2 linked regions of the Notamacropus eugenii genome follow. The protein of the gene in region 2 purifies or fractionates together with the protein of the main gene of each other region. This does not show direct contact. Links are inferred from orthologs where the notes say so. Each region holds a gene or a part of one and is shown on either strand. Other genes may lie near its edges. The genes, in order: ILF2 and HNRNPR.

What was found.
Region 1: the proteins of HNRNPR (region 2) and ILF2 purify together in Homo sapiens (affinity purification with mass spectrometry; 3 studies listed by BioGRID and IntAct, counting the BioPlex papers as one, with this or other methods). This does not show direct contact. The link is inferred for Notamacropus eugenii from reciprocal best matches to the Homo sapiens genes HNRNPR and ILF2.

What each region holds. Positions count from the first base shown.
Region 1 is NC_092873.1:377,646,947-377,658,486, reverse strand, and holds the start of ILF2 (interleukin enhancer-binding factor 2), read left to right. Parts: upstream 1-6,728; 5' UTR 6,729-6,831; coding exon 6,832-6,836; intron 6,837-8,073; coding exon 8,074-8,133; intron 8,134-9,595; coding exon 9,596-9,638; intron 9,639-10,101; coding exon 10,102-10,206; intron 10,207-10,719; coding exon 10,720-10,797; intron 10,798-11,348; coding exon 11,349-11,451; intron 11,452-11,540. Other genes in the region: NPR1 (atrial natriuretic peptide receptor 1), read right to left, coding at 281-416, 1,033-1,146, 1,591-1,790, 2,606-3,311. UniProt on the Homo sapiens protein: Chromatin-interacting protein that forms a stable heterodimer with interleukin enhancer-binding factor 3/ILF3 and plays a role in several biological processes including transcription, innate immunity or cell growth.
Region 2 is NC_092876.1:63,736,972-63,748,511, reverse strand, and holds the start of HNRNPR (heterogeneous nuclear ribonucleoprotein R), read left to right. Parts: upstream 1-4,931; 5' UTR 4,932-5,166; intron 5,167-5,578; exon of another isoform or gene 5,579-5,630; intron 5,631-7,975; exon of another isoform or gene 7,976-7,978; 5' UTR 7,979-7,987; coding exon 7,988-8,144; intron 8,145-10,478; coding exon 10,479-10,597; intron 10,598-11,026; coding exon 11,027-11,134; intron 11,135-11,540. UniProt on the Homo sapiens protein: Component of ribonucleosomes, which are complexes of at least 20 other different heterogeneous nuclear ribonucleoproteins (hnRNP). hnRNP play an important role in processing of precursor mRNA in the nucleus.

The sequences.
Region 1 (11,540 bases), on a different chromosome or scaffold from region 2:
CTCCTCTAAGAGATGGGGTAAAGGGCTTTAAATGGAGATGGATTCTTCTTCCTTGTGATAGGTAATGAAATAGTGAGGAGGCTACGCCCTGGTTGAGATGACTTCTCAAGGATCTCTCTGGCTGAAGCATTTAGGAGCTCCTGAATCTCCTTAGAATTTTTTCTTTTCTTTCACATCATGCTATCCACCTGTTTTACACACACACACACACACACACACACACACACACACACACACACACACACACATACACACACATCCCAACCCACAAGGCTCTGACCATAGAAACTTCGATTCCACATCCTTCTTGTGACAGCTTCTCCATCAGTGGCTGAACCACCACTGTCCAGTGTCTCGGTCACTGCTTGGGCATAGATCAGAAGCCCATCATAGAAGGAGGCTGCAATGGTGTTCACCTGTTGAGGAAGGGTGATGGTGAGGGATCATCCTATCTCAGAAGGCTAGGGGAGAACACTGGATAAGAACATAGTGGGGTGGTGGTGGAAAGTAGAGATCAGCAGGGACCAGGAACAGGCAGGAGACACTACCAGGGCAATAGAGGAGGAGATACCTAGATAGGTAATGGAGGGATGAGGAGCACCAGGAAGAACTGGGAGAATAGATATGGTGGCTTTGGAGTAAAAGACCAGGGAAAGTGACATGGTGGGGGAGAGGGGAGGAATGTGGAGAGTGGGCACAATGTGTAGGGGAAACAGGGCTATAATACAAATCAAATATTAAGCACTCACTGTGGGAAAGGTACTGGGCAATTCTAGACAGTTGGTATACAAAGAGATAAAAAGAAAGTCTGCTTTCAAAGAGCCTACTTGCATTCTACAGAGCACAGTGAGTAGAGCAAAAACATAGAGAAGATGAAGCAAAAGGCATTAGGATGGAAGCATGGAGCTCCTGTGGGTGGAAAGGTTGTAATGGGAAGGGCAGTGGGTATGGTGTGTGTGTGAGTTGGTCACACTAGGGCAGGGCTATGTGAGGCTGAACATGGCCTTGGGAGCCAGAATGGGGCTTCCTTACCAGCCCATCCTCCACTGTGAAGTTAAATTTCTTCTGGGCTAAATCTTTGAGCTGCTGCAGAAATTCCAGATACTCAGGATTATCAGGCTCCTTATATGTGATGATTTTAGCAGCCTGGCCATGGGGCAGGAGGAGAGGGAAAGAAGGCATTATTAGGGATACAGCTGAAAGGGCAATACTACAGGGCTCCTCATTCCCAGGGATATTGTGTTCACGCCCTTGGGTTTCTCTGTTTCTCTTTGATCAGTCTAAAGTCCTAAGTTCAGAAGCAAAGGAATAGACAGATAATTGTCCAAACTCCTGCTCACCCCAAGGCACCTCTGAACTCCAGACTTACCTCATTCCTCTAATTTGTCATTCATTTGACTCTCAAGCCCCAACTGTAGTCATCAACCCATCTCCTCTAGCAGCCATCCTCTGACTCCCTGATAACCTGTCCCAACCTCATCCCCATTCTGGAAGTATGTCAAGGACCAGAGAAGCAAAAAGAAGGATAAGCCTCCAGCATAGCATCATACAATGATAGGTAGGTTCTAACCAGGACTTTGGGGTACCCACCTGGAAGGCCTTTCGGGCAATGGCATCATACCTATCCCCCTGCTGCCATGGCCTTCCAGAGATAGGGCTACGCCCATCCTGCAGGCTCTTTCCGAAGACATCAAGGTAAAAGAAAATATAGTCTCCCTCGGTCATCCCTGCTTCCTGGGCCAGAAGCATCAGGTCTCTGAATGTGTTGGGAGAACTGCAGATATAGATGACTGTGGAAGAGGACAAGAAGGAGTCAGATGAGCAGGAGATAAGAATTTAATGGAAAAGTTTGGGGCTGAAGGAGGGGAGAGATGGGGTTAATAAGGGCCAAGAAAGAGATTCCTTTATTTTAGAGACCTGTCCTCCAGCCCCGAGGTGAGCAGTACCTCCAGGTTCAGCTTGGGCTATGGCAGGGGAAGGAGGACTGAAGAAAGACTGAGATGAAGACAATAGGAACTCTTTGACCTCCCCACTACTAAAGTAACAAAAGAAAAGGTGGGAAGGAGAAAGTGGAAATTGGAAAAGGAAAGAGAAAATTGAACCCAAGGGGAGAAGGGGGAGATAACCAGAAAGGACAGAGGGTCCAGGGAGTATAGGAAGAGAGGAAGGCTGGGTGAAAAAAAGAAAGAAAAGGGAAATGAGGAAAAGAGGGAGAGGGAGACCATAGGTGTGAGATGGACAAACTCAAGGAAGGAAGTAGAAAAGAAGACAGAAGAAATAATTCACACAGAGGACAGGAAAGATGGGGAAATGGGAAAGCAGGGGAAGAATGAGGAGTGGAAAATGGGAGGAAGTAGGGAAGAAAGAGCCGGAGAAACAGGAGCAGAACAGAAAAAGCAAAGTAAGAAAGCGGGGTGAGGAGGGCGAAGAAGGGACAGGAGAAGGGCAGGAGCCAGTGGCGGCACACTCTGGTTGGGAGACGAAGGCCCGTCTGGGTCTGGAGCTTGAGGGATCCTGAGGGTGTAGGAGTGGTGAGGTACCGGTCAAAGCCGGCCTCCCTTTCCCGAAGGGGCTCCTCCCATGGGGTCTCAGAGTACCCCCTTACTTCTGCCCTTTTGTTGCACGTCGCGCAGAAGTGCGCTATAGAGCTCCAGGTCACCCTCGGCAAACTGCAGGTAGTCCACGGTAATGTTGAGTCGAGCCCGGAGCCGAACGTACAGCCCTTCGATGGCAAAGAAGCAGGGCCGGTCGTCCCCGACTGGGGGACGGTCGTTGTAGAGCAGGAGTGTGCGGCGCTCCCAGCCCAGCTGCTGGTGCAGCGTGGCCACGAAGTCCCCGATCTTGACATGGCTCGGACCGGTGCGGGTGGTCAGGGCGTACTCATCCTTGGAGCCGAAGCCCAGCGCGGACGCCCCGGCGGTCAGCATTGGCACGTTCCAGTGCGCGGTAAAGCGGCCCACAGGCGCGGCGGAATACACGCACCCTGGTCCCAGAAACGCAGCCGGGTGGTATTCCACTTTGAGGTCCACCGCAACCAAGGGTGCCCAGCTGTCGGAGCACACCCCTTGGGGGTTCTCGCTGCTGCCCAGCTGGTACACCGCGGTCCAGCCCGGCAGCAGGTCCGACCGTTCGTTCATCCTCTTCAATGCCATCTCCACGGCCGGTCCCACGCGTGACCACGACCACGGGTACGTGGTGTTGGTCACTGGTAGGACCACGGCCACTGTCAGGTTCTTCGCCTGGCACCCCCGGAGGACGAACTGGACGAGGAAGGGGAGGAGGACGCCCGAGGGGCACTTTGGGGCGCGCATTGCCTCAGCTGGAGAGAACAGGGCAGAGAGAGCGCCCAACCACGTCCCCTCCCCTCTCCACGCTACCTCTTCCCTCTCAGTGAAGCATCGAGTCCATCTCCGGGGAGCGGGGAAGGGAGACTCCTGGGCCCCGGGTGTCCCCTCAGTCTGGGTGAGAGACAAGAGGAATTCGAAGGGGTGAGAATGAGCAGAAGGGGCAGACAGTGCTAGCGTGCCAGGGAATGAGCGTGTCTCAGAGGGAGGTTGCAGGAGGGCAGGTGGGTGAGAGGGAGAGTGGAAGAGTGCGTGCGTGCGTGCGTGTGTGTGTGTGTGTGTGTGTGTGTCTATGCTAGTGAGAGAAGTGGGAGAGATAAGAAAGGAGGGGAAAAGGGAAGGAGGAGGGGTGTGAGTGTGCGCGCTCTTGTCTGTGATCTAAGGGTGCCACTGAGGGCAGAGGGGTTGTCCAGCCAAACTCTCCGTCTGCCTTAGGGGGACTGGGAAGGACCTGGAGCCCTCCCTTCTTCCCTCTCCGACTCAATGGCAAAAGAACCAATTCCTGATCTTTAACTCCTTCCTCTCCGGAATCTGGCTGCCTCTATCTTCCTACCTCCCCGCCTTCTTCGAAGTCCCTCTAACCACTCCTACTTCTGTCTCCCCTTCCTCCCTTGGGGATCTGGTACGGGTGAGAAAGCCTTTCTAGAGGACGGGAAGTTTGTTGAGGAGGTGTTTGTTGTGTGCATGTGCCTGTGTGCTCTAACAGCTGTGTCCTCTTCCTCCTTCCCTTCCTCTTATCTTTCCCCTTCCACCTTGTAACATCTGGTGAGAGAAGCATTTGCTTACTTGAGAATCTGCTAGAATAAAATTGGAGGCGGGGGGTGGGCTAGATTTATGGGAATGATGAGTTGGAGTATGGGAAAAGGGAAAGAGGGTGAGAATTGAGCTGGGAATCAGGAGTCCAGGCTCTCCATCTGTACGCGATTTCCCCTCCAGGACTGAGCCACGGAGATGCATCACATAATTTTAGATTGTAGAGCAGCAAGGGGCCTCAGAAGCCGTCAATTCCAACAGTTGAGGAAACTGAGCCCCAGAGACGTGAAAAGACTTGCCCAAGGAACAAAGTGAGAATTTTTAGGTCGCTCGGGTTCCTAGGCTGGAGGAGAGAGATGAAGACATAGCACCCAGGACTGATGGGCACAGATCCCGCAATGTGGGAGCTTTGGTGAAGACTATTCCACGAGGGGGTCTTTGGAGGTTTCCTCCCTTCTCCGGCTGATGAAGCAAAGCTTTGGATCCTATCCCAACTCCTAGAAGATATGGCCCGAGGGCTAGCGACCGCCCGTCGGGGTTTGGGAGCCTTTGGTGGAAGAGCGAGAAGGAGGCAGGGTGGGGTGTGGGGTGTGCGACGTGACTCAGGGACTGGAGGGAGCTCAGCCTGGACTACTCGATGCAGTCCCGACAACTGTGGAGTCATTCTGCCACCCAGTGGTCAGTAGTCATCTCTGATGTTGCCGGTTCCAGCCTGGCAGGTCATCAAGAACAAATTTCCCCCGAGGTGCCCCAGGCCAGCTTCCGTTAATCATCATCATCATCATCATCATCATCATCATCATCATCATCATCATCATCATCGTCATCGTCATCATCATCACCATCACCACCACATCAACCACAACAGTAGCAGTTCTATAACCCTTTAAAGGTTTGCAAAGAACTTCACAAATATTAGTTCATATTATCTCATTTGAGCCTTATAACCACCCTGAGAGGTGAATGCTATTATTATATCCATTTTACAGATGTGGGAACTGAGATGAAAAGAAGTGAAGGTCAGATTAATTATTAATTACCCGAGGCTAATAATGAGACAATTTCTCATTCCTTTCTTTCCCCCCCTCCACTCCCCAGTTTCCCATCTCCAGCAGCTTGCCGGGCACTTCCATCTGGATGTCCCATAGACATTTCAAAGTTGATCTATTCAAATCAGAACTCGTTTTCTTTCCCCTAAACCCTCTTTTCCTTATAACTTCCCTTTTTCTGTTAAGGGCATCACCCAGGTTCACAATCTTGACTCTCCACTTTCTCTTGCGTAATCAGTTTTGTAGATTTCATTAGCGTGTCTTTTGCCTGTCTCCTTCCGTCCACTCACATGGTTAGCTCCCTCATTTCCTCTCATCGGAACTATTTCAAGAGCTTCTTAACTGGTGTCTCTGCATGCAGGCAACCTCCCTCCTCCACAATCCGTCCTCCACACAGCTGCCAAATGGTTATTAGCCAAACCCAGTTGTGAAGAAACTTCAATGGCTCCCGTTACCTCTGAGATAAAACACCAACTTTTCTGCTTGTCGTTTAAGGCCTCTTACAAGCTGACTCCAACCCAGCTGGCCGGGCTTCTGAAGCTTTACTTTCCCTGTTGTCGCCCCCTCCCATCCAACAGCGTTATTTATTTGCTTTATAAATGTCACCTCAAGCTCTCTCCCTTTAAGGTTCAGTTAAGAGCTGCCTCGTCCAAGAAGCCATTCCTGAATGCCCCAGTTGTTATTCCTCCACTATTATTACTTTGCATTTGTTAAAGAATATTTGTATTTACTTATTTGTAAGTAAATTAAGTCTCTTACTAAATTAAGTCAAGTAAGTCTCCCCTCAATCCCCTCCCCCCCAAGTCTCCCACCTCGTAGAGTATAAGTTGTTGAGGTCAGGGACGGCTTCATTTTTGTTTTCATATCATATCCTCAACTAGTGCAGTGCTTGGCACGCAGTAGGTGCTTAATAAATGCTAGTTAAAATGAATTCTTTGCTCAGCCTATTCGACACCTTCGTTTATTCCTGTTGCTTCAGTTTCCCTTCGAATCTTCCATTTCTTCACAATTTGCCTTGAGATTCCACTTTTTTTCTGTTTAAATCCTGAAACTTCTGGGACTCAGTCTTCCCCCTTTTTTATCTCTGGTTTTCATTTTCCTCTGCTTCTAATTCTCATACTCACGCGTATTAAATTCGGGCAAACAACGTATGTTACAATTTATGTTTGAAATTATCCCTTTTCTTCTAGCAAAGTAGCGCTGGTTGAATAAGGTGAATGGAAAAATTTGTGGTTGGAATCGAAAAGTGTTGTTAGCAGAGGATGGTTTCGATCCATCGACCTCTGGGTTATGGGCCCAGCACGCTTCCGCTGCGCCACTCTGCTAGCTATCGCCAGCCTTGGCTAAATCCTATATAAAGAATGTAGAACTTGTCTGGCGTGTGCGTCAATACTACGTGAGCCTTTCCGCAGCGCCTCCTGTCGAACGTTCTACATACAAGTAGCTCCAGTCGCTGCTTTTCGTTAGGTCGCTTCTCATTGGCTGTTTTCCAGTACCGCAGGCTCTCCCAATGGCTGATAATTCTGTTCGACCGAGGAGACCAATGGGTGTGGATGACGGCATGACGCAGCAGCCAATAGTGACTGGTCTTATTGGAACGTGCCGGCAAGCGGCCTCTCCGGTTGTTGGCTTCTCAGAGGAAGGGGCGGTTGGCGGGGCCTCCATTGTTCAAGACTGTGGGAACCATGAGGTGAGGTGCCGCGGGGCTCCAGGGGAGACCTGGAGCGGGGGATGAGGACCAAGGCCGGAGGCAGTGAGGCCAGAGCACCAGGCAGCTGGAGGGACCGGGTGTCCAGGAGTTGGCTGAATCCCAAGATCCCTTAGGCCGAGTGGGGGAGGGATGACTCCAGTATTTTGTGGGAGGGGGTGGAGAAATCCAGGGGAGCTCCTACCTCATCTCGGGGGACAGGGAAGGCAGAGAGCCTGGAGTCCTTGCCTCCGGTGACACTTCTTACCTGGAAGCCTGTCCTGAGTTCTTCGCGTTCATTCTGTCTGTCTCTTCAAGTTACCTTGTACGGCAGTAATAGAAATTGAGATCTCATTTAAGCTAAATGTAAAAGAGTTGGGAATAAACCTACCATAACGCAGAATACTTACGTACAGATTCAGTTACAGCCTGCTCAGAGACAGAAAGCACAACTCAGATAGCTGGAGGGACATTCAGTGCTCATGGATGGGCCCTGCCAATGTAACAAAAATACGACCAAAGTGAATTTACAGATTTAATTCTGTACCAGTCAAGCTATCTGTGCCCCCATTCACTGTGAAGCGAATGTAAGTTCCTTGAGGGCCAGAGATGCCTCCATCCTCAGCACCTAGACCCGGAGCAGGGAAATTCTTGCACCCACGATTTCCTTTCTGTGGTAGGGAATTCCCAATAAGGCATTTCCCCTGCTAATGCAGGATGCCACCTATTAGTTTTAGAGTTGCCTAGGGCAGTGAAGAAGGTGAGTTCCATAGGCTACTGGGTTACCCAACCAGTATGTATCTCAGGCAGGACTTGGATCCAGGTCATTCTACCATCTTTATTTACTTAGGCTAGGTACCTCTGCATTAATAAATGTTTTTTGAGCAGTGTAATGCAGAATTATTACATATACCACCAGATGCTGGGGTTGTGTTGATCAAGTTTGTATAACTTTTCTCTTTTAATTTTCTCTTAATGCTGTCCGGGATAGGGGAAGCAGGAGGGATGTATTCAGTAATAAGCATGATGTAAAAACAAAAGATATCAATAAAAAAGATTTTTGAAAATAAATTCTTGTGGAGTTGAATGTTTGAGAGGTTGGGTAAGCAGTTCCCATTGAATTAAGTTGAATCGTAACAGGGGGAAAAAGAAACTGGGTGGGAAAAGGTTTGGATCAACCTATGGTGAGGATGTTATTGGTTTCTTCACTCTGTGTAACAACTGCTTGTCTTATTTATAGGGGTGATAGAGGCCGTGGTCGTGGAGGGCGCTTTGGCTCCAGGGGAGGACCAGGAGGAGGGTTAGTACCACCTTTGAGTGCCAGATGGGGTGTATGTCTTCCACCACCTGATTATTTTTTTAGTCCAAGGCCTCTTGCAATAGAGGATTTGGAGTGGGTAAATATTGCTTGCTTTTTATGAGGCCGTATTCTGGCTGAGACAGCTCTTCCCATGTGCTCTTTCTTGACATCTCATGTTTATCCCCTTTTCTGTACTCATTCAGATTGCCTCTATCCAGGTCCTTACCACATCTTCCCCAGATGATTTTAATAGCCTCATAATTGGTATCCCCACTTCTGGTCTCTTTACTTTGTCATCTGCAGCTTCCATATTGATATTCCTAATTTACAGATCTGACCATGTGACTCCCCTATCCAAAAATCTTTAATATCTCCATGTGCCGCTAGGATAAAATGCAAATTCTGCTTTGGTATTTAAAGCCCTCCACAATCTGGTTGTCTCTAGGCTTTCCTATCTTATTTCATAATACTCCTTTTTACTCTCTCCCTTTTCTACTCCAGTTAGCCTGCTAGCCATTCACTATATATAACACTTCATTTCCTGCCTCTGTGCCTTTGCACAGGTGGTTTCCTATGTCTGGAATGTTCTCTCTTTTTACCTCTACTTCTTAGAATCCCTAACTTCTTTCAGAGTTAAATTCAAGGGCTACTTTTTTGGGTCTTTCCTGATCCCTGTTTCTTCCTCTCTCTAGTTGTTAATATCTTCTCCCTTCTTTATATAATTTTTGATTTTACTTGAGTACATGTTGTCATTCTTTTCCCCAACTCCCCTTCTCTGGTGAGACTATAAGATATATGAAGGTGGGGATGGTTTAGCAAGTACCTACTATGGTATCTTGCACATGTGCTTAATATTTGCTGAATTGTTCCTTCAGTGAGTTGATTTTTGCTTCCATTCCCGCCATGCGGAGAGAGATAACCTCAGATGACTTTGCCACCAGTTTAGAGCAGTAGTTGTTTACAAAGGTCTCTGATAACTACAGAGATGTTAGCTCATTAACTACATTTGTATGATAATACATATCCTGGAAACTTCAAACTAATGTAGGTGGGTGGGTGTGAAGCTAGTATAAATTTTTAATATCTCCTACTAAGTCTTCACACAATGTTACCAATGCTCTGAGCATTTAATGTTTAATCTTATCACAATAAGGTTGTGTAGGTGGACAGTGCTAGATGCCACATAGAAATTAAGAATCTTAAGTTCTGTATTCCTAACACTTGCTCTTTATTTTTTAACAATCTGCAGAATTTGGTATTTATTCAAGTGTGGATATGATAACATGTCATGATAAAGGAATAGACTTAACTTTTACTGAGTAGCAAAAATGAATCTTTTTCTTATTTAAACCTTACTGATGCCTTCTTTACTTTACATATGCTTTCTTTTTGTAGTTGTATCAGAAAGTCTAGTCCTCCTGGTTAGGGGAAATGACTTTCTTTTCTTTCTTTTTTTTTTAAGGTTCAGGCCATTCGTGCCACACATTCCATTTGATTTCTATGTGGTGAGTTTGGTACTTTGATTGAACTTGGGTCTTCCACTTTTGCTATTATAATTGTAGGGGCAGGGCCATGGTCCTCTGATGTATAGTCACAAATTCATTTGAATAAATATGGTTTTTTGGGAAGGGTTTTGAGGTCCACTTTTATTTCTTTTCACACAGAAAGAGGCTATGCAGGGTGAGAAGATGTAACTTTGGTTGTTATTGGCAGAAATTCATGATACTGTCACTTTTGTTTTTGACTTTCTGGATACCTTAAGTTTTCTTTTCCTTGATAAGATGTCATGATATTTTGGAAGAGACAGTTGTTGACTTTGTATAAAATATTACTATAGAATTTTACTGCCTTTATGGCTTTTGTATGTCTGGTAGAATATAACTCCTCAGGATTTTTGTCGCGTATAGTTTGTATCTCTGTAGCAATTATTGTGATTCTTATTATCATTTCAACTCCTTTCTGGTTCAGTGTGAAATGGCATTTCCCCGAGTCAAACCTGCACCTGATGAAACCACTTTCAGTGAGGCATTGCTAAAGAGGAATCAGGACCTTGCTCCCAACTCTGCTGAACAGGTTTGTTCTATGGATATTCTCGATGTTTTCCCCTGATAGTTTACGATGAATAGCTGAAGATGGTGTTGGGAGTAGTTGCAGAGACTTACACTTGGTTGTTCCTCAACTTTCTCATTTTGGGTGGAAGAAGGTATTGAGAAGAAGTGAATTTGATTTTCCTGAAGCATAGGTCCAACTATATCTCTTCCCTACTCAGTAGTAACTCTGTTGCCTCTAGAATCAAATATAAGTTCTGTTTAGCCTTTAAAATACTTCAGAATGTGGCCCCAACCCATCTTATTTACCTTAATTGTACATTACTCTTTTTACACTCTATAGTCCAGCCAAACTGAAATTGCTATACCTTCTATAACAATTGAATCTTGATCCAGACCCCAAAGTAACAAGTTTTTATTAAGTCTTGATACCTGGTATTGTCACTCATAATGTTTAGTTCAGTTGTTCAGGTGCTGTTGACACCCTTTTGGTGATTTTTTTTAACCTTGGGCTTTTATATTTCATGTTAATTTTCAGGCATCCATCCTTTCTCTGGTAACAAAAATCAACAATGTGATTGACAACCTGATTGTGGCTCCAGGAACCTTTGAGGTGGTAAGTTTTTGTTGACTGAGTCTCAGGAGGAAGATAGCCTTACATCTGTAATAGTTTCCTTGGGCCTCTTTTCACTTTATAGCTAGTTTTTATATAGGGTTTTACATATGTTACTTCATTTGATCACAGCAATAATAGGTGATATTATTCCCTCTTTACAGATAAGGAAATTAAGGCCAAGATAGCTTAAAGTGATTTGCCCAGGTTCACATAGCTAGTAAATGTCTGAGGTAGGATTTAAGTCAGGTTTTCCTGATTTCAAGTCCTACACAATTCATTTATACCACCTAACTGCCTCTAAGGAAAATACAGTGGAATTTCTTTAATGTTCTTGGTGTTGATTACCATAGTTTTTATTTGTAATGTGGATGTGTTTTTTGCTTTTAAGATAGCATATCTTAATCTTGCTAATAGTAGGTTATGTAATACGTATAACATAATACTATGTAAAAAAAAAAAAAGACTGAAATTAGAACTTTTTTTCTCTCTATACTTTTGTGATTTCAACAGCTTTTTTCTGTTGATGTTAACTCCTCTCCCCTTTTCAACAGCAAATTGAAGAGGTCCGGCAAGTAGGATCTTACAAGAAAGGGACGATGACCACAGGGCATAATGTGGCTGATCTGGTAGTGATCCTGAAAATCCTGCCAACATGTGGGTGACAAGCTTTCTTGGTCCTGGGAGCCAGCTCGGGCTGGGTTTGAGGCATTGGGGGTTTAAGGTCCAAATTGCCAGGAGAGATA
Region 2 (11,540 bases):
ACAAGGGAGGAAAGATTTGGGATGATATTGGGAATGGAAGAAACAAGCGAAGGTTTTTTGAGGATGGCAGAGACAAGGAGACTTGTTTGTAGGCAAAAGGGAAGCAGCCAGTAGACGAGGAGAAACTGAAGATTAGTTAGAGAGTGGGATGATAAAGGGAAAAATCTGCTAGAGAAAATGGGATGGAATGTGCAAATTGTGCATGTAAATGTGCACTTGTGCATGTAAAGTTGTTTGTTTGCAAGGAGAAGGGTCATTTCATGTGAAACAGAGCTGAAGGAGGAGATAGTAGTAGAAGGCATCCGAGTGATGTGAGATGAGGGGGAGGGAAGAAGATGGAATGCTGAAGGCCTCCATTTTTTCAGTTAACTATGAGACCAAGTTCTCAAGGTGAGATAGTGTGAGATGGTGTGATCTGTGGGAGGCATGGGAAGAGATGGAAAAGTTTGGAAATATGTTATGGTGAGTATGATAATCATTTAATCACGAATTTGTAAAAGGATTTCCTTACCACAATGAAAAGGACACCTTCCATACTAATGCCATTATCCTTTTGATCTCCTAGATGGAACAACCATCCTTTTTATCCCCCACATTTATAACTTTGGGTCTGTCTTTGTCTTTTCTCCTTCCCTCGTTTCTCCTATCCAAACTGGTTAACTGGTTGACATTAGACCTATGATTCTACCTCTGTAACATCTCTTGTTTATTCTCCCCTGTACCATTACTGAAACTGCCTAAATGACCACCTACCTAGCCTACTGAAAGAGTCTCCTGATAAGCCTTCCCACTTCCAACCTCTCCCTTCTCAAATCTATCCACCATAATGGTGCCAAGATCATTTTTCTTATGCATAAATTTGATCAACCCTTTGCTAAAATACCTCCTGTAGGCTCCATTATTGCCTTCCAAGTTCAAATTCCTTTGCCATGCATTCAAGTCTTTTGTTTTACAGAAATGGTACCTGAAGCCCTGGAAGATTATCTGTCCGTAGTCATACACAGAGTGAACTTGAACCAGAGCCAAAACTAAAACCCATGACTTCCAACTGCCTCCAGAATAAAATATAAACTCCTTAGCCTAGATTTTAAGGGCCTCCCAAAGCTGCCTCCAAAGTGCCTTAGTGGCTACCTTTCACATTCTTCCCTTTCATGAACTCTATATTTTTGATAATTGGATAATTCAATGATGCCTTAACTCTACATTCCTGTCTCTGGTCTCTACATTCACAAAGGCCTTCCCCACACCTGGAATTTCTATCTCAGGATTCTTACCTTCCTGCCAGACTCAGTTGGCAGTAGGTGCCCTTGATGTCTCTGTGAAGCATTTTCTGGTTCCCCCAGTAGTTAGTGTTCTCTCTCTTGCCTCAGTTTATTTTGTATTAGACTTACTTTTGTACATGTATCCCTCTTGCAAAATACAAGTTTCTTGACTTAACTTATAGTGATGTAGCTTTCTCCTTAATAAACCCATTTTTCATCCATTTATATTTTTTTGTATATTGTCTTATCAACCATACTCAAGTATCAGTCCCTTGGGGGATGAGATTGTATTTTATTTATATTTGATATTAAATTCAACAAAAACCTTTTACTAAGATCCCATGTCGTGCACAGGCACTGTGCCAGGTGCTAGGGCATAGCTCATAATCTAATGCATATGTAGAACAAATATGATAATAGCTCTCATTGGTATGTCATTTTACATACATTATCTCATTTGAGCCTCAAAACTCTGCTGTGAGGTGGATGCTGTTATTATTCTCATGTTACAAATAAGATAACTTAAATGACTTGTCCCACTGAATTAATTTTAAAGAATTAAATGACTTGACATGGTTAGTGTCAGAGATGGAAAATGAACCCAATTTTCTTGACCCCAAGTTCAGCACTCTACCCACTATGCCAAGATGCCTCTCCTACAAAGCTGTGGCAAAGTGGAGAGAGCACTGCACTTGGTCACCAAGACCTGAGTTCAAGTCTTGCCTCAGATACTAGCTGTGTGACCTTGGGAAAGTCACTTAACCTTGGTTTGCCTCAGTTTTCTCAAGTATAAAATAGGGATAAAAATAGCACCTACCTGTTGTAAGGATCAAATGAGATACTATTTGTAAAGCACTTAGCACAGTACTTGGCACATAGTAGGTACTATACAAATGCTAGGTATTATTATTATTAAAGTAAGATGTGACTAGGGCAAAGAAGAAACCCAGAAAAAGTACTCTCTTGTAACTAACATGTATACCTGAAGACCTAGCACAGGACTCTACACAGGGTAGGGAGACAATAATTACTTGTTGAATGAATGAATCTATTCAGCATAGTGCTAAATATGCAGTAGATACCTAAGAAACACTTAAAGACAAACTTGGTTGTGTTCTCATGGTAACTTGATCCTGAAATGCCTTTGGAAATGAAGACTAGCTTGATCAAGATCACCTTTCACCTACATGTATTGAATTACAAATGGAAGAGAGAAATCAGGTCAGGATTCATCAGACACCACTAGATTCTAAGATCCTTGAGGTCAGAGACTTAATCACCTTTTTATGTTTGGCTCCGTGCTGAAACAGATTTTGGCAAGTAATAGCATTCAGTTATTGAACAAGTGTTTATTAAATGCCCATATATAAGGCTGTGAAAAAGCATTGATTTCAACTTTACATCCTTACATGCCACCAAGACATGAAAAAAATAGATTTAGGGTAAATGGGAGTTTGTCTTCTTTGTGTACTCAAGATGGAAAGAATTGCACAAGATTTTCTTTAATCAAAACTCTTATCTATCTATGGTATTTTGCACCTATCCCATCTACTTTATAATAAAGTTCATGGACTCTATGTAGCCATCAAATACACCCGCAGATAATAAAGAAAATTTACATACATTTACATTGAGCTATCACTATAAGACCAAAGAAGGTAGTTTAAGCATTTCAATCACTCTGAGGGATGGTAATTATGAGAATAAATGGACAGATGTGAGAAACAAAATCTAATTCTGGTTTTGAAAGTGGTCATTTTAAATTTTCCTATACCCCCCCATCATGGTCTCCTTGGCAAAGATCTTGGAATAGTTTGCCAGTTACTCCTCGAGCTCATTTTACAGATGAGGAAATGGATGCAAACAAGGTTAAGTGACTTGTTCAGGGTCACACAGCTAAGTGTCTAGGGGAAGATTTGAACTAAGAGAGATGAGTCTTCCTGACTCCAGGCCCAGCATCTATCCACTTTGCCACCTACCTGCCCTTGTAGTCTACCTTTGATCATATGAAGGATTCCCTTATTCCTCCTTACTTTTTCTTGATAATATCCTAACCCCTCAGACTTGACATAACTATGTTTATACATCTTTAACCGCTTTTTTTTTCTTTTTGGCTGAAACCTGGCATTTCACAGGTATAGAGAATTCCACCAATGCAGATCTGCAACTTGTCATTTCATTTTAGAGTACTTCCTGGGGCCACTAAATGAATTGGCTTCCCTAGCATTACACAGCTAGTAGGTGTCAAAAGGACTTGAATCCAAATCTTCTCCACTAGAAAACCAGCTCTCTCTACTCAACTAACCCTGCTACCTCTCAATGGACTCCCTATTCTACTTCATAGCTATTTTTTGTTGGAGTTTTACCCTCACCTACCTTACTGAACACTAGGAGGGCAGAGACTGTCCTATCTAAACTTGGCATCTCTCCATCCTTTCCTAGGGCTCTTTACATTGTGATCACTACATTTTTTGAATGAATACTTATTTGCATATTTTCAGTAAAGTCCTTGAAGGCATAACAGATTGTATCAGTTTTCATCTTTGACTTTTCATAATGCTCAGCTTCAGAGCAGGGAATTTAATTGTTCCTTCAACAGGTATTTAATTCTGTGCACATCATATTTTTTGCTCCAAGTCAAGGACTAGGTGAGTTTTTCACCAGTGCCTAGCTGGCAAGATCTGGCACATCACCATTAATAAAGGTTGACTCTTGTACCCTTGGGTATATTGTATCCTCAAAGTAGACTGCAGGGTCCTCGAGGGTAGAGGGCTGTCAGTTTTCACTCTTGATCCCAACGCCCAGAATTAATAGTCCTTAACAAGCCAATGCCTACACTGCTCTCTGGACCCGGTCCTCTTCAATGCCAGTGCCTTCCCTTCGTTGATTTTCTCCATTTTACTAGACTAGAGCTTGTTTGTAGTTTTTCACACGCTGTCTCCCCAACGAAGAGTGGGAGCTCCTTGAGAGCAGGGACTCTCAGTGCTTAGCACGTAGTAGGCTGGCACATAGTAGGCGCTTAATGTGCATCTGCAGGTGTGGGGCCGGGCCCACTCCTGCCCTCTCTGCATCTCCAGCTCTTGGCCAGGCACACGGCTCCCTTCATCAGCGTAGACGGAAATAGCCCGATGATCGAGGGCTCCAGGGTTCTCACTGGCAACCACAGACCCGAGGCCAGTAGTGGGCCTTACATCACGCACCAGGTCCCTCTCCGCCAACGTTGGCTGAAGCGGTCAAGAATTTAAAGCAAGCGCGCGGTCCGAGGGCCTGGCAAGTCCGGCCTCCGGGCCAGCCAGGCCTCAGGTCGGACCAAAAGGGGATGGGGGAGGTCAGGGGAGTCGGTCCCGTTCTGACCGGGCGAGACAAGTTTCAGGGAGTCCACGGCACTCACTTCCGCCAAGAGCGACCGGCCGGACACCCGAGGCCCTCAACAGGACGTGCTCCGCACGCACCAGAGAGCCCAGCTCTGGCCGGCCTCAGCGCACCCTTTGTGTGCCTCCCTCCGCCCCCGGCTCCTAGTCCGGCGCCGCTGAGCTCTCCCATTGGCTACGCGGAGGCCTCCGTTGATTGGCTCTCTGTTCGTCCCGGCTCGTTGCCCCCAGCTCAGAATTCGGTTTCTATAGGTCGCCGCAACCGCTGCTCGGGCCTCCCCTAGTGCTGATTGGTTGTGTCGGCGAGCCGAGTCCCTGGAAGCAGTTCCGGGAAACCCCGCGTGCTGCCGGGATCTCGCCGCCCGTTCCATGAGGAGGAGGAGGCGGAGGAGGCGGCGGAGGCGGCGGCCCTGGGGGGGGGAAAAGGCGGGGGGAGACAGAGAGGGGGTGGCGCGCGCGCCATTTCTAGTCGTTTTCAAAGAGCCTCGCGCTCGTTCTCACGGGCCCCCATCGCCGGCGCCCGCTTTGCCCTGGTGAGTCTCGCGCCCGCCCGTGGGGGGAGGGGCCGGCCGCCCCGATTCGGCCGGGCCCGGACCCCGCGCCACGTCCCCGCTCTGGAGGGGGCCGCCGGGCGGGCCGGTGCGAGCGGGGGAGGGGGGAGGAGAAGGAAGGAGGCGAAGGGAGGAGGGGGGGCGCCTCTGGGCCCGCGCGGCTTCGGGCCTAGGCCGGCCGGCCTGGCACCGCCGCCCCCGCAGCGTGCTCCGCTCGGGCCCGCGGGCCGCGCCTTTCCCGCCTCCGAGAAAGGCCCCGCCATGCGTGCCGGGAGGTGGGGGGGGGGGGCCGGAGGCCGGGTCGGGCCTCGCCGCCTGCGCCTCGGGGGAAAGGGAGGCCCCCCCTAACGTGCCCCCTCCCCCCACGTGAGGCTGGCGCCCTCCCTCCCGCCTTCCATCCTTCCCCAGCGGGCTGAGAGGTGGTGGTGGTGGTCCGGGGAGTGAGAGTAAGTACCCCCCCACGTGGTGCCCAGGTCAGGCCTCTCCCCCTGCCGGCCTGCAGGCTGAAGCGCTGGGTCGTTCACGTGAACGTTAAAAACAACCCGGCAAAATGGGGGGGGGGTAGCACATTTATCCCCCCAGTTTAAATGGCCTTCGTGCCCCGCCCCAGAAGAAACACTCCCCCCAAAAAACCCTCTCACTTGATCGTGTTTACTATGGCCGGAAGTTTGCTCCGGCTGGGCGGTAGTTTGTCAATTAGCCTAATAGGATTAGCTCTGGAGCCTGGGGCTCGGAGGAGAGGGAGGCTTTTCTGGTGGATTCCCCGAGACCTGTTTCTGTAAAGCTGCATTTCTGGTAAAGTTGGAGTCCACTTTTTTCACAGTAAAGACGCTCCCTCCCCTTTCTTTCCTTTCCTCCCCTCCCCCTGCGCCCCTCCCCCTTCAGTATCTGCTTATTGGAGGCATGCTGAGTACATCTGGTACTAATAGTATTCATGACTTTTTTTTTCCATCTTGTGCTTAATAGGCAACCTGTCTTATGCTTTACCCATACTTTGATGATGATATTTCTTAACAGAAATGTTCACATCTGTTAAGAGTTTGCTTCCATTCTGTGACTGCAAAATGTTGCTTTGCTGCGAAGGTCTCGTGATGTTGTGTTTAACTTTGGAGTTTTGAAGAATTCCTAGCTGTATTTGGGGGTGGGGTGGGAGAGGGATGACCATTGAGGAGATGCAGCCGTGTGTAGGAGGACGGTTTGATTTAAAAAGGTGCATCTGCCCATTTTTCGTGCTAAACAGTAGTCTTGAGTGTGTTAGCTTTTAGCTAGTTCATCAGATAGTGTTTTGAGGCCTGCATTGAAAAGCATGTACCCACGTAAATAAAAAGAGTTCCACAGCAAAGGATGCGTCTGCCTGTACACAGCCTGTACCTATCACCAGACAATCAGATCTTTAATGATGTTCTTTGACCATAAGATAGCTTTAGCTCTTTCAGAGTAATCCTTCTATGCTTAATGTCCTTATTTCCTCCTTTCTCCCTTTTTCTCCCCAACTCCACCTCTGGTCTGTTCTATCTTCTCACATTATCTTCAACTGGATTTCAGTGGTCTTTGAAAGAAATTAAGTTGTTTCAAGTGGGACAATTGCTCCTGGTGCTTTCCCATAATGTCTGGTAGGATCTCTAGTAGTGTGGCTAAGCAAGCACTTTTTGGGAGACTTGTATTTTCTTGATAGCCGAGGTATCTTGAGTTTTCTTCAAAAACCAGGCTTATTCTTGATATCCACCTTCGTATCCTTTATTTCAGTATATGTTGCAATGTCTTTCTTCTGCTGCATATTATCTTCATCAAGTTGTCATTTCACCACAGACAAATGCACCTTTAACTCTTAACTGCTTTTGTGAGGCAGGTACCTTTTCATCCATGCGGGTCTTGTAGAGCTCTCCATTTAAACTCTCTTCCCCAGGTAGTTGGTCCATTTCAGTAGTACGTGAGTGGTGGGATATACAGAATGATTGCTGGCTGGTTTACTGAGAAATCTGACCTAAGTTCAACCTTAATTAGGCACCATTGATTGGAACTCTTGGAAAGAAGTTAGCTTGAATATGTATTTTTGCAGCCTTACCAAATTGATTGATATGGAAAATTCAATATATTGTACTTGGGTTTCCTTTTTTTAAAAAGTAACCTCCAAAAGTAGCTCATTTTAAGTATGGATTAAATTTTTTTTCTCATAAATTTGTACATGGGAAGAACAAAATTAATTTTGTTAGTGATCTCAATGTGATCTTAGTGAGTGCAGGATGGAAAACCACCCCCAGATACCACCAGCATGCTCAACAGGGTTACACTTCTGTCACACCTGCATTGGAATGGAAGCATGGCATGGCAGAGAGCCAGGGATTTTTGAAAATTCTCAAACCTTGAGTGTTTGGTCTGTTTAAAAACAAGATGTAATTGAGTTTATGTAAGAATGGGAGCTGCAGAGCTTTTTAGACATTTATAGTGGTGACTTGTTCATCAAAGAAAGTGTTTCTTTTTGATGACATGATCACTGGGACGTAACAGCTGCTTTGCTAATCAGATACTTTCCCTCTGATCAGAAAGTTTGAGACCTATGACCACCATGGTGTACATGAAGTACCTTAAAACCTTACTGCTTCCATGTACATTTCCATTGTTTTCCTGGATGATTTTATTGCAAATTTAGGTCAGCTACCTCACAGGCATTAAATATGATTTTGATAGAGTATTAGCAGCATGTATACAAGTTAGTTTAGATAAGTCATTCTTTGTCCTGCAAACTAGTTATTTCTGGCTTAATGTAATATAGCTCCTGAATTTTTTCCAGCAGCATAATAAAATGGCTAATCAGGTGAATGGTAATGCGGTACAGTTAAAAGAAGAGGAAGAACCAATGGACACTTCCAGTGTAACTCACACAGAGCACTACAAGACACTGATAGAGGCAGGCCTCCCACAGAAGGTGGCAGAGAGACTTGATGAAATATTTCAGACAGGTATAATATGCATTTCTTGTTTCTGACCGGTTATGAAAGTGAGGGCAAACCACTTTGAATTGTATAGCTTTTTAAGGTTAAATAATACTACTGTTTCTGATCTGTCCTGTAGAGCTGAATGTGTGACTTTCTGTCACTGAAGGCAAATTGGGTTTGACTTTGACACTGACTCTTATTTCATGATTTTGAAGCCTTCTTAGTGTTGAATATGCAGTCTTAGTTGCTTCAGACCAGTACATCAATTTGTCTTAGATTTATCACAAGAAAAATGTATTCCAGCATACTAAATTTTACATTTTTTTCTCAATCCAAATCAGTCATCATTTTGCTTTTACTTTTCTACTTTTAGCTTCTTAATGTGACTCTTAAATCAGTTTAGCTCTGAACTAGGTGGCATAGTGAGGAATAGTTAGGATGCATTATTGCCTGAAACTATAATAAATGTCATATTATGTGAGTTTTGTGGCCTGTCTAGTTTTCATTGGACAGTAATCCACATCTCTCAGCATCTCATGGAAGTGTTTGGTTTGCAATAGTTGGCTGTTTTTTATCCCAGGGTTAAGTGCTTAGAAAATCTGAATATCTTAAATAAGGTTTTGGTTGTAAGTGGTTTCAGGTTTTAAACTGGGAGATATGTTTACCCTTAGGGAATCTTGTTCATAAATAAATATATCCTCCCCCTTTGACGACTTAAATGGACGGAAACCTTCCTTTTTGAGCTTTTGGTGATCTGCAGTCAGCTTCTGAGAAAGAATTGAATTGTATTATAAATGTTTCTTAAGTACTGTAAGTCGTAAAATAACTTTCTGTCCTTTTTTTTTTTAAGAAAAAAAGGAGATAAATGTTAGACATTAAAAATAGTTTCCTTAAATGTCTCCTGGGTAAGGTATCCATTTGGAAATCACTCCTAGGAAGCTTTTTGTGCATTTCTGCCATTGGAAACAGGCAGTGATCTGCTTAAAGTTACCCTCTTGGAAGAGTCTTGGTTAGTAAGGATGCTTAGTAAGGAAGGATACTTGGTTAGTAAGGAAGCTCATGCTTTGGGCATAGGCATTGTTGGACCAGAGGGAAAGGTCTGATGGGCCTCTGGGACTGTGGTGTTTGGGTGGTGCTGTGGCATTTTTCATGTAAGGAACTGCAGACTTATTTAGACATGCTCATTTGGGGACATTTTAAATTATGACAGTGCATTTAATTTTCTTACATCAGTAACTGCAAGTGGCATTACATTTATTAAATTTTTTATTTCAGTCTAAAATGAAATTTTGTTTGGTGGGCTTTGCTAATGTGGAGTCACTTTAAAAAAAAGTGCTGTTTCCATTTCCTAACAGTTTACTTCACAGGCTCATGCATAACAGTTGTTATAATAAATTCAGATTAAATTAAAAGAGCTGTATTTTATTCCTTAGTAGATGCTCTATATACTGTTTAACAGTTCATGTTTAGAGTACTGGGAAGAATTTTTTTTTAAATACATTTTCTAGTAAGTCTATGGCCATAAAATTAATTTTAGTTCATTTGAAAAATGTCATTGTTGATATTTAGCGTTCTGATTGCCACAGCATCCCTTAAATCTCAACACATCACGAAGAAACTTAAGAAGCTGCTAAAAAATGGCCTTCTTTACTTTTTCCCATGCTATACCTACAAATGTTAATTTTATAAGGCTTACAGAAGAGTGATATTATATCTTTCCACATTTGATTGCAGCAAAGTGTGTCTGTACACTCAAACAATTTTCAGTCTCTCTGTCCCTAAGAAGGAGAAAGCTTTTGCTACTCTTTGGGGCTAGAGTTGCTTAGTAATAGGTGACTTTCTCCCCCCAGTTGCTTGGGTGACTCTTTATACTTGAATGAAGATTGCAAAACTCCCCAAGTCCATAGTTTGGAGGAGATAGATCCTTGGGGAAGATAGTAACGTTCATGTATTACTTAGAAATGTGGACCAGAATTGATCACTTGAAGCCTCAGTCTGTTGCACAATGTGCACAGCAGATTTAACTCCTTCCAGGGCTTTTGAAACTCCAGTGTTTATTTTTGGAGGGGGGAGGGTAGGGTTTGTATTTATGTGTTTTTTGGCAGAGGTGGGATTGGGGGGGAACGTGGGAAGCAATTTCAGTTTCATAGTAAAAGTATTTTATTTTTAAGTATTTACATTTTCATGTTCTTTCATACAGTGTTTGTATAGTTGCGTGTAGTTAAGAATAAGATAATTTATTAGTGATAAAATTGAATATGACTTCATAATTAAAAGTTAATAAGACAGGTTCATCAATTTGTGTCCCCTCTAGCTTTTTGAACAGTAACATTACCATTTTTCAATTTGAATTTTTAGGGTTGGTAGCTTATGTCGATCTTGATGAAAGAGCAATTGATGCTCTCAGAGAATTTAATGAAGAAGGCGCCCTCTCAGTGCTCCAACAGTTTAAGGAAAGTGACCTGTCTCATGTACAGGTAAGATCAAGAGTCAGAAGAGGGGCTGAGTGAGTGAACTAAAGTAGAGTTTGCTGGTTGAGTTCCATGATGCCTGGCCTGGTATGCTGGACTCTAAGGTGCTTTTGTAAACCTGAAGTTGGTGTACTGCTAAAAGTTGAGTCTCAAAAGCCACATTGAAAACAGAAGCTTGTCAGCCATTCATTTTATATGACTGATGTCCTCAGGAGATGTTACCAGGGATACAGGGAGCAGACTGTCCATAATATTTGGGCTAGACTGCTGCATTACCATGGGGGAAAGTATTCAGAACAGCAGATGATAAACTAAAAGTCATGAAAGGCCTATTTGGTTCTCCCTAATGTTTAAATATCTGGAGATATGGAATCATTTATTCATTTGTTGATACAACAAATTTGTTGGCAACTCCAAATGGTTTTTATTTTGTAGAACAAAAGTGCATTTTTATGTGGAGTTATGAAGACCTACAGGCAAAGGGAGAAACAAGGGAGCAAGGTACAAGAATCCACAAAGGGACCTGATGAAGCAAAGATTAAGGTAAAGCAAACTGGAGTTTGTAGAATTAATGAGATTAATTAATGTTGTTTTCCAGAATGGTGTTTTTATACCCCTAGCAAATATTTCAAATATTAAGCAGATTTTTCATAAAAGGTAAGGGTTTCTGTTGAGCTGTTCTTTCTCCCTCTCCCCATTGTTTAGAGGTATTGTGGTAGAGTGGCAAGGACCCTAGATTTGGAGTCAGGAAGAGACAAATTCTGTTTTAGACTCTTGCGGTCTCTGGCGTCTCCAGGCTTCAGTTAGCTCATATTCAAAATTTAGGTGTTGACTGTGGTACCTACTTCACAGGGTGGTTGTGAGAAACAGATGAGATAATATATTATGTTTGTTTTAGCATAGCATGCTGGAAAGGGCACTACATAAATCCCTAGACTTAAACTCTAAG